Yarrowia lipolytica: one gene and its partner. The protein of the gene in region 2 interacts with the protein of the main gene of each other region in a biochemical or structural test. Links are inferred from orthologs where the notes say so. Each region holds a gene or a part of one and is shown on either strand. Other genes may lie near its edges.

Region 1 (5,315 bases), on a different chromosome or scaffold from region 2:
GCAGATCTCCGAGCAATACCTCTGGAGTGACCACCATCACATCTCCTGGTGGACCTCGTCATTTTGGGATCAATTTTCCGATGTTGTGATAACCAGATGACTGTAAATTTACGGTACAAGGAACGACGGAAAAGATCTGCTTATTCAGATTACGAATCTTTGTTAGCGAGTCTAGGGAAGATGTCGGTATAATGGGGTGCAAGGCGGGGGGTGTTTGTGGTCTATTGTTCTATATTACTGGTACATACACACACTGTGCCGTGTTAGCTCCATCCATCTTGATCATCTCCAGCTGTGTAGGTACGAGTGGCTGGACCCTTATGTTGTGTTAGGATAGCCCAAAATGAAATACAAAGATATCTGATGAGTCGCCTCGGTGAAAACATTTGAATGGTACAGTTCTCTTCTTCCTAAGATCATTATCGGATGAGTAAGTCGTGGGCTCATACAGTATGTAGTGTTCTGATGCCATGGCGACTGTTAGCACACAATATACTATAGCCAATTACTGGAGAGCTCCGGTGTACTCATTTAATCCCCCGGAGCTACTACAAGTACGCGCCGCAATTGATCGTTAATATATACATGAATTGGTTATGTCTTCTCTATTTCTTGGCAAATTCGAGAAGAACGGCATCGACATCCTTGGACTCTCGCTGCTGGATCTTGAGCTTGAGCAGGTTGGGCTTGGGACAACTGGTGGATCGGGCATCCTCACCCTTGGACATGTAAAACTTGGCACAGCACTCGTACAGTTCGTCAATCAGCTTGGTGCACTTGCTCTCGTTGTAGCCCGATCGCTGCAGGCAGTCTGTGTTAGTGGTTGAAGTTGAGCTGGGGTACGGAGAACATCAATCTCAAAAAAGGAGAGCCATTGGAATTCTTGCCTGTTGTCTAAAATGACATTAACAGAGTCAGATCAAGGGCTCGATGGTAGTTTTGTAGAATGAACGGTTTCAATGAGGGATTTGATCGGCGTTTGACCCATATCCAAGCTTATCAAAGGTCCGATCAGCAGAAGCTCGTGAAATAACAGTCACTCTTCGCAGTAATCCAGTCGCTTACTTGGAGTGACCTACTCGGCTAGCCTCCTACTAGTAGGTGTAGGCTGCCTTCAATTCCTCTAGCCACACCCTCTGAGAGTCAAGCCCATTCCCATGTATTTACTCACCCTGGATCCGACAGGCATAGGCGTGGCAAGGCTGCGAGTTGTAGTCGATTTCTTCTTCAGCCATTGTGTTTATCGTATGTGTTGTGCTGTGTTGCTGTGTGGAGATAGTAGAGTGGGTTATGCATGTTGAGCTTGATTTCCCTTCTTGTAAGAGATGAAGTGGAAAGCAGTAATTGTGCTTCACTGTTCATAAATCTGGAAAAAGGTAATGTAATTCAAATAATCTAGTCTTACACTACAGATTAAGAGAAAAATCACCTCAATCAGACAACTTTTGCCGTAATTAGAATGACGCGCAAAGTTCCACCATCGTCCTTCATCGAACATTAAGTTGAAGCAGTACAAGTAGGAAAGACTATCTACAATCCACAGTACCTACTAGACACTGGACATGGTACTTGTATCACAGAAATACAATCTACATATATCATTCTGCTCCCCTTTATTTCTTGATACAAATACCGACTTTTAATATATCCGTGGTACCAATTACTGGTACCAATCACACCCCTTGACGCATCTTGTTGACCTATTTCTCTCTCCTACTTTTGTTAGACAGCTCTCATTGCAGAAAAGATGGTATCGTGACACTCCCCTACTAGCTCAATCAAACTATGGTATAGATCCGACCTTCTGTCACATATTATCTCCTCCTTTTGCCTCCATCTATCTTCTCTCCTCTCCTACATCCTCCAAAGCACGTCAACTCTAATTAGAACACGACTTTTCTCATTTCACGACGCGTCTACGCCTGTTCAAAAACATGTATCGACGCCCTGCGAAGCGCCGGGTGCCCAATCCCGATGTTCTTTTGGCGCCTTTCAAGCCGCTGACGCAAAATCTGCCTCCAAAAACCGACCCCAAACCCTCAATATCAGAATCGTCCGACTCGGAGTGTGCCAGTGACGATGATGAACAGGAAAAGCTGCGGGTCAAACGACGAAAGCTGAAGGAGCAACAGGAGGAGGAAGAGCGCCAGAAACAGGAAGCTGAAAAGAAACGACAGGCCGAACTCCGGGAGCAAAACCGACGCATTTCAAAGGAAGAAGCGGCCCAGATGCTCAAGGCCGTGGCAGAACCAAAACGTGCCAGACAAGCGGATCTGGGTGTGCTGAGGTCTGCCGAGGAGATTGAACAGGAGCTCCAGATCCGGGAGCGCAAGGAACGCGTGGAGTCCGAGAGAATCAGCGCCAGAAACCTCTCGTTCAATGCTCTGTATCGAAAGAAGCTGGGGCACAAAAAGAAGCATAAGACATGGGATGGAGATGGAATCGTGGTCGTTAAGGGAGAAACACTGTCGCTCTACACCCCTGAAGGTAAGGGGATCGTTCGGGGTTTCAAATTGCAGCCCCAGGTAGTCGTTGAAGAGGGTCAGGTGCTGAAGGTGGGTCCTCTAGAGATCGAACTTGAAAGTACCGTGGTGGAGGCCCAAAGAGGAGTGCTAGGCATGGTGGAGGATATTGAGTCACGTACAGCAGTTGAGAAAGGTCGTTCTGCTTCCGCATTACGTGAGTCTCCTGTTCCAACAAATGATACTCCAGAGCCATTGTCAGTTGAAGCAACTTCAGCGGTTGTGACGGAAACATACACGCTTCCTGCTCCCACGACTTTCAAGGCAGTGAAACGTCTACGTGTTAAACTACCACAGAAGATCACAGAGGAAAACTTTGCGACATTCATTCAGGATGTCAAAATTGACCCTCTGTTGAACACTGCCCTTCGGCCTCATCAGCGCGAAGCAGTCGACTTTTTGTACCGTTGTGTGATGGGTTTCAACCCCACATCAGGCTATGGAGCTCTCTTGGCCGACGAAATGGGTATGGGTAAAACACTGATGTCGATTGCTTTAATTTGGACGCTATTGAAGCAGACTCCGCTCAAAGGGGAACCTCCTCTAGCTAAACGAGTGCTGATTGTCTGTCCTGTGACTCTAGTGAACAACTGGAAGACTGAAATCAAGAAATGGTTGGGCCCTTCACGACTAGGTGTTATGGCCATTACTGACAGTATGAGCATTGATCTGGGAACGGTGATTCGAGATTTCACCTATGGACGGGTAAACCAGGTGATGATTATCGGCTACGAACGTCTCCTGCGAATTTCTGATCAGTTGCAGTCTGCCAACTTTGATCTGGTCATCTGTGACGAAGGTCATCGAATGAAAACTGCCGGAAACAAAGCCGCTAATGCCATCCAGAGTCTGGGGGTCGCCCGAAAGATCATTCTCAGTGGTACTCCGATCCAGAACGATCTCAAGGAGTTCTTTGTCATGGTTGATTTCCTCAATCCCGGTCTACTGGGCTCTTTCCAGCAGTTCAACAAAGACTACATAATTCCCATTGTGCGGTCTCGTGCACCCGATGCATTCCCCAGTGAGCTCGAAAAGGGTCAAAAACAGTCTGCTCGATTGTCGTCAATCACTGGCCAGTTCATTTTACGTCGAACTGCTGACATTTTGTCTCGCTTCTTGCCCCCCAAGACTGAGACTGTTCTCTTCTGTCTCCCCAACGCCCAGCAAACGGAAATATACACCAAGCTGTCTTCCGAGTATCTGAATCGACTCGAACGCCACCAAGTTGACTCGTTCAAGTCGATACTGTCACTCAGAAAAGTGTGTAACTCGCCCATTCTTTTGTCTGAGGATGGACCAGCCCTAGACTCGGGAAAGGCATATTTGCGTAACTCTGGTAAGATGAACACGCTGTTTCGCATGATTGGTCAACTGCGAGCACGTAACAAGATGGATCCTGACAACGCAGAGAAGGTTGTCATTGTATCGTCCTTTACGCAAACTCTGGATGTTATTGAGGGGCTGGTAAAGGACCTTAAGCTGTCATTCACTCGTCTGGATGGATCCGTACAAGCTTCTGCACGTGCCAAGATTGTCAAACAATTCAATTCTTCTTCCGCAGATAGCTGTTTTGTGTTTCTCTTGTCGGCGCGAGCTGGAGGAGTGGGTATCAATCTGATTGGTGCGTCTCGATTGTTCCTGTTTGACCCGGATTGGAATCCTGCTGTCGACTTACAAGCCATGGCTCGTATCCATCGAGATGGCCAGAAGAAGCCCGTGTATATCTACCGTCTCCTTACTACTGGATGCATTGACGAGAAGATTTTCCAGCGACAAACTATCAAGACCGGTCTGGCCAACTCCCTGATTGAAGGCACAGAAGAGGCTGATACGTTCACGGATGAGGAGCTCAAGAAACTCTTCTCTATGGACGTGCTGACCCATTGTAATACGCATGACTTAATGGAGTGCAAGTGTGAACACAATGGAGGTGATCTGGGAGAGGTGGTTGAGGAAGTGCAAGTGACCAAGGCCACAGCTTCAGATTCGTTCACTACGGCTCGTGAACTGGAGAAGAACCAAGACAAACAACAGAGGAGTCTCAAGAGTTTGCTGGAATACAAGCATATCAGTCCAGATGTTGTTCGTGAGCAATGGGACAGTCTGTCTGAGATTGGAGATGTGTTGCTGGAGAAGATTGTGGGAGAGAAGAATGATTTGGTTAGTTATATTCTGACCAAGACTTCAGTTCAAGCGTTAGACGAGGTTGATACGGTGGACGTTGTGGAGGAATGATAGAGAAAATGGTACGGGATTGCATAGCATAGCGATAGATGGAATGCATTGGAACTTACTTAATGGCACGACACTACTTGTAATTTGTATTTCATTTCAGGCAAATTTCACATAAACGGGTGTTGGTTCTTGCTGCTGGTTCACATTTCCTGGATGCCGAGTGTTGGTGACGATGGGAGCCAAGCGCCTTCTAGTAGGGCTACTCGTACTTACCGAAGTAGTCTCTACAAAACACTATGGTAAGATGGTGTTGTACAGAGCAGTTGTAACGGGTGAAGATTGGTTTACGGCTATCTGTGGCCCAGCAACACATCAGTTTTAGTCTCTCTAACCAAACAATATTATCCATTGTAACAGTTCAATAAGACACCGGAGCTTGCCAATTCAGTCTTGTCTGAACCACTACTGTACGAGTATTCGTATCATACTCCAGGAGTGCACTCTGTACTTGAGGCTCACAAGCACTGTATGATGCGCTATCGTACATGCCGTTCGAGACTGTATATCACGTTATTGGTGTGTTTGAGAGCGAAAAACCAGATTTCCATCATTTCCCAT
Region 2 (3,475 bases):
TTGGCTGCTAGCTCTTTCTGAGATTTATCGAGATCAGAATAATTGTCTGCCGCTTCAATTCGCTCTGCAGAATCTCGACACTTTGAGGATCGAGAAGTTGGCTGAGGATACCAGGTGGGTTTTCTGATGGATGACAGTCTCTCATATTTGATTTCAGCAATGGCAAACTCCTGTTCAGCAAGTGAGGATTCTAGCACCCTCACAGTTTCTGCCCTGCCCCCTTGTTGCTCAATGGAACAAGAAGCTCGCTGCTGAACAAAGTACGCCGACCCCCAGAAGGCTCAACAACCTCACTCTGGATGGGACGCTCTGATCTACACTCACTGAGCCTGGCATACTTTAGTTTCTCCAGCTTACCATTTATCCTTGCAGCCGGGTACACTTGCTCTGCCTTGGATCTGGAATTTAGTCCTTTGTGTACCTGTAACTATCCTGCTTCATTGTCGAACCACTCGGGGCGGCCTTGTGGGGCTGATATCTAAGCTTGTCAAGCTCATTGAGCTCAGCCTGAAGCTCCAGAACCCTCTATGACTGCTCCCTGCACTCCTTCTTGACTTCTGCCTCACACGTTCAGCAGGACCCCGAGGAGCATTCTCGTTGTGGGGGAGTGATGGAACGATGAAGACCACCTAGGACAATGCCTATTGCCATAAATTGTCGGTGTGACCTTGTTGGATCCGTCTGAATACCTCACATCATTACCGTATATGTTGGTCCACCCTTTTTGCAGTCACAGGCTGCTTTTCGCCCAGATGACCATACCACCCAGTTGATTTGACTACCACCCAGTGACTACCACCCAGTTGACATTGTCGAAGTTCAGTATCACCAAGTATTATCAGCATTGTAGAATTGGAATATCACAAGGCATTCCAAACGTAGCCCAAGATTTCAACACAGCCTCCGTATCTTCGAGTGAGTCTTGAACTGGATGAGCCCGAACTGAGAGTCTTGTAGTACCCTGGTAAACCAAAAATCCAATGGCATCTCTCCTGTCATTTTATAGATGGACCTGTAACCGTGCTGAACTTCCAAGATTCGGTCCATACACACACAACCAATCCGTTTTGCGAAGGGTTTATCAAGTTGGGCATTGCTGACCACTTCAGAAAAACTCTTGGTCCTGATCATGTAATCGAGGTATGGAAAACTGCAGCCCTTGATATCGTCAAGCGTTTTGCTCATTCTCATAAGGGCTTGGGCGTGATAACCTGTTTTATTGAGGTGTCTTAAAACTTCCTTGTCGCCTGCGGCATTGCGAGCACCAGGAATGTTGATTTAGCAGGCAGCTTCGGGGAACCATTCGTCCATTTCGTGAACCGAGTACGGACGTTTCCGAGAGCGTCTCCTGTCGCTGGGAATGTGTCGTCTGCCAGTAAGATTCTTATATTCTCTCACCCTCTTTCCAGCCCCTCGCGGTTCCGAATCAGTGGTATAGGAAGCCTCGTCGCATGATTCCCCTGTCGCGGATATCGTCTCCGTCGTAGATATGACATTGTGGGAGATGATCTCCTTCAGGGAATCTCAGCGTGAGAAACGTAATTCTCGGTTCAGCGGTGCCTGATCCACCCCATGCATAAAATGTGCACGTCGACGTACAGCTTAATAACGACGACGTAAACCGCGGTTCTCCACGGGCCAGACTCGATTGTAAGCCTCTAAAGGTGGGGATGGGCGGAAATCCGCTTCAAGGAGACTCAGGATACCCCTACTGGCAGCTATGTGATTAGTCAGCTTTTTCTATCCCGTTATTTGACGTTTTTGGATGCCGTCCGAATGCTCTGTTTTGACGCCACCCAATATACTTTGCAACACGAAAACGCACGCGCCACCACTTTCAGTAAATTAGACTTCCTTTCTAGTCAAGACACAACACGTCTTTTTTTTTTTTTGGGGATCTTGCCGCGACATTCGCAAAACACACCCTCAAATGGCCGACGAAGAAATCGAACGAGCGGGCGCCATCCCCATCGAGCGCCTGGCCGTCAACGGAATCACCCAGACGGATATCAACCGCCTGGGCGAGTTTGGACTCTACACAGTGGAGAGTGTGGCGTACACGCCCAAAAAACACCTGCTGACCATCAAGGGCATCAGTGAGGCCAAGGCCGACAAGCTGCTATCAGAGGCGTCCAAACTGGTGCCCTTGGGATTCACCACCGCCTCAGACGTGCACCAGACCCGTTCTGGACTCATCACACTAACCACAGGCTCGTCGCAACTGGATACTCTACTGGGAGGCGGTATCGAGACCGGAGCCATCACAGAGATGTTTGGTGAGTTCCGAACGGGAAAATCGCAGCTGTGCCACACTCTGGCCGTCACCTGTCAGCTTCCCATCGATCAGGGAGGAGGCGAGGGGAAGTGTCTGTACATTGACACAGAGGGCACTTTCCGTCCCGAACGTCTGCACCAGATTGCCCGGCGATACGGACTCAACGGAGACGAGGTGCTGGACAACGTGGCATACGCCCGAGCCCACAACTCGGACCATCAGATGCAGCTGCTGCAAATGGCGGCCAACATGATGACCAAGTCGCGGTTCTCGTGTCTCATTGTCGACTCCATCATGGCGCTCTACCGAACAGATTACGCAGGACGAGGAGAGCTGTCTGCCCGTCAGACCCACGTGGCCAAGTTCATGCGAACCCTGCAACGCCTTGCCGATGAGTTTGGCATCGCAGTGGTGATCACCAACCAGGTGGTTGCCCAGGTGGATGGAGCTGTGTTCAACCCGGACCCCAAGAAGCCCATTGGAGGAAACATTGTGGCTCATGCGTCCACCACCCGGCTCTACTTCAAGAAGGGCCGAGGAGTGCAGCGAATCTGCAAGATCTACGACTCGCCCTGTCTGCCAGAAAGCGAGTGTGTCTTTGCTATTCATGAGGATGGAATCGGAGACCCCAAGGATGAGGAGTAGGCGAGGGAAAGCAATGGTTGCAGTAAATAGTGAGACCCATTTTATTTAATCATTTCGAGACTGTAGCGAGCATCTCGACCACATCATGGTCCCATTTTGATTACCTGAGTCGACGGGAATGGTCTCTGCGAACATCGTGCTTACAACCAACTCGGTAAGAGTTCATGGAAAGGAAGAAGGGATCTTTGATCTCCAATTATTTGATATTATGGAAAATATTATCTCAACACTGCAAAATTCGTCGCAATAAGGACTACTACATCACACAGCCTAAACTAAACGAGAGTCGACCGCTGAGTCAGCAGATCATAACGCCAGGGTGAAGACAGCCCAGGAACCAGTAGAGAAACAATATATCACGAGAGAAGCAAAAAAGAATGGACGACACCGGAATCGAACCGGGGACCTCGCGCATGCTAAGCGCATGTGATAACCAACTACACCAGACGCCCTCGATGTGTCCCGGGTAGGACACCGGTATTTGATCTCGAATTTGGAGCATCACACCGAAAAAAACGCCGTATTTCGATATGGAACTGGAAGAACAGGTGGACA

What was found.
Region 1: the proteins of YALI1_F20820g (region 2) and YALI1_E29085g form a complex in vitro, tested with the Saccharomyces cerevisiae proteins (2 studies listed by BioGRID). The link is inferred for Yarrowia lipolytica from reciprocal best matches to the Saccharomyces cerevisiae genes RAD51 and RDH54.

What each region holds. Positions count from the first base shown.
Region 1 is NC_090774.1:2,906,603-2,911,917, forward strand, and holds YALI1_E29085g (uncharacterized protein), read left to right. Parts: upstream 1-1,934; coding exon 1,935-4,757; downstream 4,758-5,315. Other genes in the region: YALI1_E29065g (uncharacterized protein), read left to right, coding at 1-85, 135-332; YALI1_E29074g (uncharacterized protein), read right to left, coding at 606-811, 1,172-1,235; YALI1_E29115g (uncharacterized protein), read left to right, coding at 4,930-5,072, 5,115-5,229. UniProt on the Saccharomyces cerevisiae protein: Involved in the recombinational repair of double-strand breaks (DSB) in DNA during mitosis and meiosis. Has DNA dependent ATPase activity. Promotes D-loop (displacement loop) formation with RAD51 recombinase.
Region 2 is NC_090775.1:2,080,518-2,083,992, reverse strand, and holds YALI1_F20820g (uncharacterized protein), read left to right. Parts: upstream 1-1,930; coding exon 1,931-2,920; downstream 2,921-3,475. Other genes in the region: YALI1_F20831g (uncharacterized protein), read right to left, coding at 571-681, 735-845. UniProt on the Saccharomyces cerevisiae protein: Required both for recombination and for the repair of DNA damage caused by X-rays. Its function may be modulated by interaction with other repair proteins. RAD52 interacts directly with RAD51, via its C-terminus.